Linked DNA regions of Coturnix japonica. The protein of the gene in region 1 interacts with the protein of each later gene in a biochemical or structural test. Links are inferred from orthologs where the notes say so. Each region holds a gene or a part of one and is shown on either strand. Other genes may lie near its edges.

Region 1 (4,431 bases):
TGCTGCGAGTGAGGGCTGGGGAGAGGCCGTCCCTGCTTCTCAATGCTCATTTCTCTGCTTTGGTGACTCACACGGGAGAAGGTTTGGAAAGGAATAAATAGAGCCCATAAAGTGTCTCGCTGATGCTTGGGAGGATGCCCTGGGTCTGTGCTCTGTCTCAATGATCCAGAGGAGGTCGTGCTGGAGCGGAGTGATGCCCAAAACACTGTGGGTTGGGCAGCACGTTCTTGGCTGATGGAATGCTCCCTGGGATCAGAACCAAGAGCCCTTTACCAAGAGCAGCTCTCGAGCATCACTGGTGCTCAGTGATGTCATGGGCCTTCTCCCTTTCCTGCCTATGGCTGAGTGCATCCCCAAGTCCTGTTGGAGCCCTGTAAGAGCCCTGCTCTCCTGCCAGGTGCAGAGGCACTTGTCTGTGCCGGCCCTGATTAGCAGAATGATGGTTGCCATGGAGCCCCAGTTACTGCTCTGCACCCCAGTAGACCCAGGGGGGAGGAACACGTGGAGTAGAGGCCAATTGCACTCTTCCCAGAAAGCTGATTGCTTTTATCCCAGCCGACATCTCAATGGGCCTTTCATTCATTTCCTTTCTACTTTCAGTCCGAGGTTTGGGAGGAAAAAAAGAACTGTCCCCTCCTGGGATCTCAAAGATGGGCTGGGAGAAGCTCATGGGGTGACCTGGGGCAGAGCATCCCGAGTGCTGTCCTGCATTCCATAGGATCCCACATCACTTCGGGGCTTACAGTGTCCCCTGGCGGTCATGGGGACAGTCCGGGAGAGATGCTCCTTATAATCTGTATCAGCCAGGTAGGGTTAATGCAGTCAAGTGCCTGACAAGGGGAATGGGATGGAGAGCCGTTCCCCATACACAGCTCCTCCTCTTTATGGAGCAGTAATGGAACAGGAGTTGCCATCTTCCGATGATTTCATTCATCAGAAAATTGGAAAGCGGAATGGATTGCTCTGAAGTGCTGCTGGGCCCACAGGGGACACTTAGCAGGAAACAAATATTGAGGGGTAAAAATGGGAAGCAGCATGCAGTTGCTGGGAGGCACAAACCCTTCCCAAGAGCTGCAGTGATGGAGAGGTTTTCAGGAATGCTCCCTCTTTGAGGTGGCCTTTGTGGACCCATCATGGATCCATCCCAGCCTTGGGTGTGGATGGGGAGAATGCAGCCCGGGCATCAGCAGGGAGAAAAACCTGTGCCTCCTCCAGGCTAGCAGTGCCCAGATACAGGTGCTGAATGCAGTGAGTTGCACTGGGGCTCAGCCTGGGTTTCAGAGGTAACACAGGACAGGAGGCATAAAGTCTGTCCTGGTAGATCTGTCCTGCCTGCTCTTTTCCATCTCCTCCAAGATCCCTGCTTTGCCTGCTCAAACCCAGCCCTGCTGGATTCTCTCCCAGCTCCATCCTCTTTGTGCACAGCCAGGATGGAACAAAGATGGGATGGACAGAGGAAGGTCCCAAGGATGATAACACCTTTCAAGGTCCTACCTCGAGTGCTGGGTCTCTGGATCACTACCAACCCCTTGACACCCTCAAGGGGACAAAGGGTGATGCTGGCCGTGGGTGCATGTCTTCAGCTGTACAGCCAAAGTGCCATGGAGCCACAGCAGGGCAGAGACCTCAGACTCTACACATTACCTCCTGAGCTTGTGTGGTGGGAGGACAAGGGGAGACCCCTGTTAACTGGAGGCAGCAACACAGTGCAGTTGGAGGCAGGGACGGGGATCCTGGGGGCTGCTGGAACCACCTCCAGAGATGATGATGACCACATATTCAAACGGAGCCACTGGAGCAGGATTCGAGCTGGGTGCTCAGCTGCTCCTCCGGCTGGAAGTTGAGCTGAAACTGACTTGAAGAAGAAGAAGAGGAGGAAAAAAAGAAAAGCACAGACTTTTGGAGAGAGGGGACGGGCAGCCTGTCATGGTGCACGGGGACATGTGAACGCATGGGGTGTGTGGGGGGTGTGCGTGTGCACGTGTCTGCATGCCTGCAGAGCCGGGTTGTTACAGTGCAGAGGACGGGCAGACGGACAAACAGACACACAGGATCGCAGACAGACTGACGGACAGGCAGCAGGAGGGATCCGAGCCCGGCTCATAGCGAGAGCTGATGCCGCGATCGCAGCAGTGATGGGCTCCAGCTCGGGCAGCGCTCCGCAGCCGGCGGTGGGGAGGACCCAGGGGTCGCACATCTGGGAGCCCGGGGACCCCGAGCAGCCGCTGGTTCCGTCTGCGCCCTCCCTGCAGAATTCCGTCCAACTCCGGCCCCCGCGCCCGCTAGTGTCGGCAGAGCAGCGCTGATCGATGCCTCCTTCACTACGCAAATGGCAAATCACCGCGTTGTGAAGGCTGCTGGTGGGGATGGAGACGGCCGTGCTGCCCTCCCCCGGGACTCACTCGAGTCAATGGAGTTTATGACTTTAACGTATTTCCTCTCCCCTCCTGAAGAGCATCTCCTCCGCGGTGCCGCTTTGCCGGTCTGGGCACTGGGTTTGGGGACGAGAGGAAGACCCCTGGGAGCCCCCCGCTGACGGAGGAGAGCAGCAGCTGGCGGAGAGGGGCAGCGGGCTGCCGAGATCTGAGCTCCAAGTGGAAAGCGGGATTCCTTTCTCCTGCCTCTTAAGGCAGCGACGTCTCCATCCCCTCCTTCGCTCCCTCCCCGTCCGACCCTGTCTGACATAGGGGTGCTGGGACCTCATCCTGCCTTCGGAGCTTCCCGGCGAGACGTAAGTTCTTCCTGGGGAGGAGGATGAATTTTCCCCTTGCCTATTTCACCTCTCAGCCCCTCTGCACGGGGAGCTGGAGCTGGGGCAATGCATGATGCGGTCCGGGGTTGGCTTCGGGGCTGTGTCCTGTGGGATAAGTGAAGAGGGGACAGCCCTGCCACAGTGTCCCCACAGCTGGGACAAAGGGACCACAGTCAGGTGAGGGAACTGCCAGGGCTGTTTGTAGATGGGACGTGGGGCAAGGGGAGCTTGGGGTTCCTATAGGGGGAGGTTTGGAAAAATTTGGGTGCTTTCCCAGTGGAAAAGCTTTTGCTGGGGCAGGATGGGGGTGCTGAGTTGTGGTGATCAGCAAAGTCTTGGAACCCCAATGGGAAGAGAGGATCAGGCTCAGGAGCAGCAGAGGGTTTGGGAAAACACCCTGTGAACTGCCACGTCTCCCGCAGCCATGAATCCCTACATCATCTGCTCTGGCCCTGAGCTCCCCCTGCCCCAGCGAGACTTCCCCATGGAGCCCCCCAGCCCCGACCTCTGCAACAGGACTCAGCCTGGTGCTTTATTCGACCCCAAAGATGCCAACCTGACGGAGGAGCAGCTGCGGCATAAATACTTAGGGCCTCGGAGGTCCAACTTCTTCATCCCTGTCTGTGTGATCTACCTGCTGATCTTTGCTGTGGGGGCAGTGGGCAACACACTCACCTGCATCATCATCCTGCGGCACCGCTTCATGAGGACGCCCACAAATTACTACCTGTTCAGTCTGGCTGTGTCCGACCTGCTGGTGCTGCTGCTGGGGATGCCACTGGAGCTGTACGACATGTGGAGCAATTACCCCTTCCTGCTGGGGGCTGAGGGCTGTTACTTCAAAACGCTGCTCTTTGAGGCTGTCTGCTTCGCTTCCATCCTCAACGTCACCGCCCTGAGCGTGGAGCGCTACATTGCTGTGGTGCACCCACTCAAAGCTAAGTATGTGGTGACCAGGAACCACGCCAAGAGGGTCATCATCACCATCTGGGTGGTGTCAGTCATCTGTTCCATCCCCAACACCAGCATCCATGGGCTCCAACCTCTTTATGTGCCTGGCCGGGGCCGTGTGCCTGATTCGGAGATCTGCACTCTGGTGAAGCCACGCTTGATTTACAATCTCATCATCCAGATCACCACCATCGTCTTCTTCTTCCTGCCCATGGGCACCATCAGCATCCTCTACCTGCTCATCGGCCTGCAGCTCAAGAAAGAAAAGATGCTGGAGGCCCTGGGAGCCAAATCCAGTAGTGACAGTGACTATGACAGAGTCCGGAGACAGAAGAAAGTGAAGAGGAGACAGGTCACAAAGATGCTGTGTGAGTCTGAGAACAGGCAAAGCCAATGGGGGTGTTGGAAGGGTGCTGGGAGGAAGCAGAGGTCTTGGTCATCCTTGGTCATCCTGGAGGAAGGTCGTGGGGGCAAAGGCAGAGCTGGTGGCTGTGATCCAAGGGTGGGGTCTGCTTGTGGTGGCTCATCCAGGAGAGCCCTGGGTAAGAAAGGGGAAGGGACAAGGCTGGGGTGGTTAACCTGTCCCTCTGCTAACCCAGATTCCTCTGCCCTACAACCTTGGGGTGTTGTGGTTGTCTCCAGCCCTACTCCTTCCTATGAACATGAGGCTCTGACCTGAGGATCGACCAGAGCACCCCTCTGTCCCACTTCACTCCCATCCCTGTCCT
Region 2 (4,347 bases), on another chromosome or scaffold:
ATATCCAATCTAAATCTCTCCCTCTTTTCATCTGAAACCATTTCCCCTTGCCCTGTCACAAAAGACAGTTTTAATGTTTTCATGCAAGTGGATTCAGCAAAATAGTTCGATGTGCAACGTTAAAACAGATATCACATAAATTCAACCATGCGACCTCTGTGCATTTCTGAAGTCTTCCATCTGAGAAGATACCATTTTTGTGCTGTGCATAAAATGTTATTTGCACCTCAAGGCAGGATAAGAACATTGACTGGGATTAAACTTTCAAATTTATAAAATACTGTCCTTTATTTTCCCATGCAATCTTTTGAACAGTTTAATTAGAAGGTATTAATTAGCAAAATGCACAACAGATTAAATCCCTCCAAAGGCCAAAGCTCAGGGTGCTAATTTATGTATTTGGATTAAGATAGATGAGGGAGTTACCTTTCAGCTCTAATGACTACCAGTTTATGATGATGCCTTCTAAATAAATATCTGTTTTTATTAAGAGAAACCAGAACCAAATGCAGTTCCTTGTTTTGGATTAAAACACCTCTTTTAACTGGGTAGATGTGAATACAATAACAAATACAAAATACAGGCTTTTTAAATTTCTCTTCTGATCCAATAAATAGTATTTCCATCAACACAAGGATTAATTCTGTCTCCACTCACATCAAGAAAAGCTTTGCTATTGAACATGATATAGAAGATCTTCCTATGACAGATACACTGCGCAGCCGGCACCAGCCCAGCACCCTGCTGTGCTTCTTGTGTGCTGGTGGTGCTGCATTGAGTTTTGAATCCTCAGATGGGCTGTACCACCATATCGCTGTGTTCTGCCTCCTGGTGTGGCAGTTCAGGTGTGTGTGCACCTTCCCTGCTGTCATAGGGCTCACCCAGTGTCAAGATAAGAAGCTGATTTCCGCTATGATCGCAAAGTTGGGGCTGTGCAGAGCTTCCTCTGCTGTCATTCTGGGGATTAAATGCAACAGTGCTGCTCCTTCCAGTAAATTCTCTTTCCTTATTAGAAAGAATTGCAGTTCTGCCCTAGAATTGCAATTCTGCCCATGGTGTAGATGGGGAAGCAGAGTCAGCCACAAACACACCTGGCGGCTTCTTTATCACCTGGCTTCATCCTCCTCTCGATTAGAGCTCTCCAGCTGTCAGGTGGGGTTCCAGTTTTAGCATCAGGCAATGCCCGAATCTCACCTCCACCCCCCCTAGTTCGCCTCCACCCCCTCCATCCGCGGCAAGGGGCAGCCGGCCACAGCTGGGGTTGTTCTTTTAAAGCGAAGAGTTTTTTTCCCCGAGGGGTGAGGTGAAGAAGCAAAGACCGTCCGGTTTCCGTCCCGAAGCCGAGCGGGGCCACGCACAGCCGCAGGGGGCCGGGAGCGGGGCTGAGTCACCGGCGGAGCAGAGGGGGTCTGCCCCGGGCGGGGGAGGGAGGCCGGCGGGGCGGGCAGGGCGGCTGACGTGCGCTCCGTGAGTCAGGGTGATGCTCGTCCACGTGTCAGGGAGATTTAAAAAGTTTGTGCAGGGAGCGGGGCACGGACAGCGTTGTGCAGAGCAGGGCACGGCGGCTATGGCACAGCTCTGCCAGCAGCAGCTCCCTGCGGCCATCCCCCCGCGAGGCCCGGGCAGCGGCGGGGGGGTGCCGGGTTCCCCGCTTCTCTTGCTTCTCTTCCTCCTCGCCTCCTCCGTGCGTGTCTGCAAAGGTGAGGAGCATCTTCCCGCAGCCCCATCACCGCAAATCTGGGGGGCGGAGGGGTTACCCCGGCGTCCCCGCGAAACCCAAAGCCTCGCAGCGCTCCGTCGGGCTGCGACGGGGGAGCGGGGTGGGATCCGTGCGGGGGTTGCGGAGGTGCCGAGGCCAGGGCCAGGATGGGGCTCGTCCCTGGACAAGGGTTGGGGTGAGGAGAGGGGCTCCTCCACCTGCCCTGGGGATAACTCTGTCCCGGCCAAACTGCGCTCTGGTAAAGGGGGAAAACGGCTGTAGATCAAACCGATGTGATCGTAGTGGGGATGGACGAAGTTGATCAGCTACTTAAACAGGGAGACCGGTTATCTGTAGTGTCATTGAGAGTGCTGTGTTACACCTGGAAGCCGCTATTTTTATATGAGGGAGCACTCTAAAGTGAGAGCAGCTGATGGGCATTGCAACAAAACACAGTGCCTTGCCCTGCCCGTCCTGCTGTCCCATTCTACGTGCATGAAGTGCTTACACCTTGTGAAGCACTTTACATCACCTGTCGCCGTGCACCGAGCAATTAGTTCTGTTTGCCTGTATTGGGGATGAGCGAGTCACTTTCATCAGGAGCTTTTGTGCTGGGTATTTGTAACGCACCGCATACTGTGTTAGAAATGAATTCTGGAGATGGGGGAGAGAGGAAGGAGGGAAAAGGAGGGTGAGGAAAGGCAGCGACACATCACACTGTGCTCACAGAGATGACTGAAATCGTGCACCTGACACTTGCGAAAGCCCCTGTGTAGGTCCAGCAGTGTTCAGGGTGATGGAGGGATGCTGCTTTGCACTGCTGAGACTGCACCTGCCATCAGAGTTCTGTGAGTGAGCTGAGGAGGGTTAAGGAAACCTATAGGGTAGTGAATCATGGTGCACTCATGGCTACCAAGGCACCAGTCCCAGGCAACGCTCCAAAGTGAACACTCTGAATTAAGAACAGAATACAATGACAGTGAGAACTGTAGCACACTTAATTTATTTGGAGCTGTTCCTTGAACTAAAGCACGCATCAAAAAAGCACAGTTTTCATTGAAAGGCAGTTTTACTGCCATGTAAACCTTGCAGAGATTTCAGAAATAAGCAGTTTCTACGCAGGATGAAGTTAAGACTCCCCTCTATCACTGTTCATGCTGATCTCAAGCCTGTGTCAATACCAAAAGGAGCTTTTGCAACATATCTATTATGCCTGGAAGTTATTCCTGTTGCTATTTGTGCTACTTGGAGATGCCGGGTTCACATCCTGCTCACCTGGCTATTCTCATTAAGACTACCTTCATCCTTTTCTTTGTTTAATTTGGCACAATTATTTGGGGAGAGACAAAAAGCACCAGAGGTAACTATAGACTTTATGGGAGGCTGTAAAATCTCTGCTTACCAGTGACCGGTAAAAACAGAGCATGAACTGGCTGGGTATGGTCACAGACAGCAACCTTGGGCACAGGGATAAACTGGATGACTCCTGGCAAACCTTACCATGCCGAGAGCAGACACGCTTGGGACACGCTGCTTTTAGGATACTCACAAGAATGACCCCTGCTACGCAGTGTTGCTATCGTTGTTTGTGCTTCCAGGTGTTCCGATGCCATCCCAAGCGTTGGAGGCAGAGCAGGAACTGCAGCTGTGGAAGGAGGTGAGCTCTGCGGGCAGGCTGGCTTTGCCAACTGCAGAAAGGCCGTGGCTCTAGGGTGAGGGCTGGGAGCATCCTTGCCAGCTTATCCCTGGTAGGTCAGGGATACAAGTTGAATGCTATTTCTTATTCCAGTCTTTGTTGTGGTCACGCCTTCCCTCTCCATGCTTTCTCTCATATGAAGTTCAGGTGCTTCCAATCCTACTTCTCCCACGTACCTGTTCTGACATTGGTGAAGATGTGAAGCACCTAATTTTCCAGATTTCCGAACAGTATCCAGAGATTTGGTGCTGAGATTTCATGTGGGGAACAGACTGCTTTGGCTCAGCAGAGAGCTCTGTTTGGTGACAGTGATCCTCTAGCTGTCATTGACCAGGAGGTCACTGTTCTTGGAAGCAGCACAGTGTCCCGATCGATACTTTTATAGTTGGTGTATGATAGGCACTGACTGTTTCAGCTCATTCAATCAGTCTCTGGCTTCTTCTGTTCTGCAGACAGGGCTGGGACACAGTATTCAGTCACATCTTAGCATCTTAATTCACAAAGTAGAGGATAACACCCCATTGCAGTTTGCCTTTCTAACATTTTTTACTAACCACAACTATACTTTTAATTCTCATCTCTGAAATTTATTCCATGATGTTACTTGTGTGTTGGCATGAGCTCTTTTGTACCCATTTGGAGCAGATGGAGAATCAGAGCATAACATAGATAGAGGGTTCAGCTTGCAAGTTGTGTGCCCTGCCATTGCTGTAACTTTTCAAGTGTTCTGTTGATATTTAATTTTGTAGCTTCTGATAACATTACAAAGCAAGTGACTCACCCCGGGTACAGCTGCACAGTGTAAATTTCTTCCTTACTGTCAATGCATTTTACAAGTATTGACTCAACCACTGTCATGTTCTTAGCCCGGCACTTGAACAAGTCCTGGTGGTGCTTTGCTCCTGGGAGAAAAATGATCTCTTGGGAGGTAACATCCTAAGAGTTACAAGGA

Evidence for each region.
Region 2: the proteins of NMUR1 (region 1) and NMU form a complex in vitro, tested with the Homo sapiens proteins (2 studies listed by BioGRID). The link is inferred for Coturnix japonica from reciprocal best matches to the Homo sapiens genes NMUR1 and NMU.

The regions. Positions count from the first base shown.
Region 1 is NC_029524.1:13,329,947-13,334,377, reverse strand, and holds the start of NMUR1 (neuromedin-U receptor 1), read left to right. Parts: upstream 1-1,400; 5' UTR 1,401-2,731; intron 2,732-3,174; 5' UTR 3,175-3,176; coding exon 3,177-4,071; intron 4,072-4,431. UniProt on the Homo sapiens protein: Receptor for the neuromedin-U and neuromedin-S neuropeptides.
Region 2 is NC_029519.1:58,656,379-58,660,725, forward strand, and holds the start of NMU (neuromedin-U), read left to right. Parts: upstream 1-1,475; 5' UTR 1,476-1,480; coding exon 1,481-1,700; intron 1,701-3,297; coding exon 3,298-3,356; intron 3,357-4,347.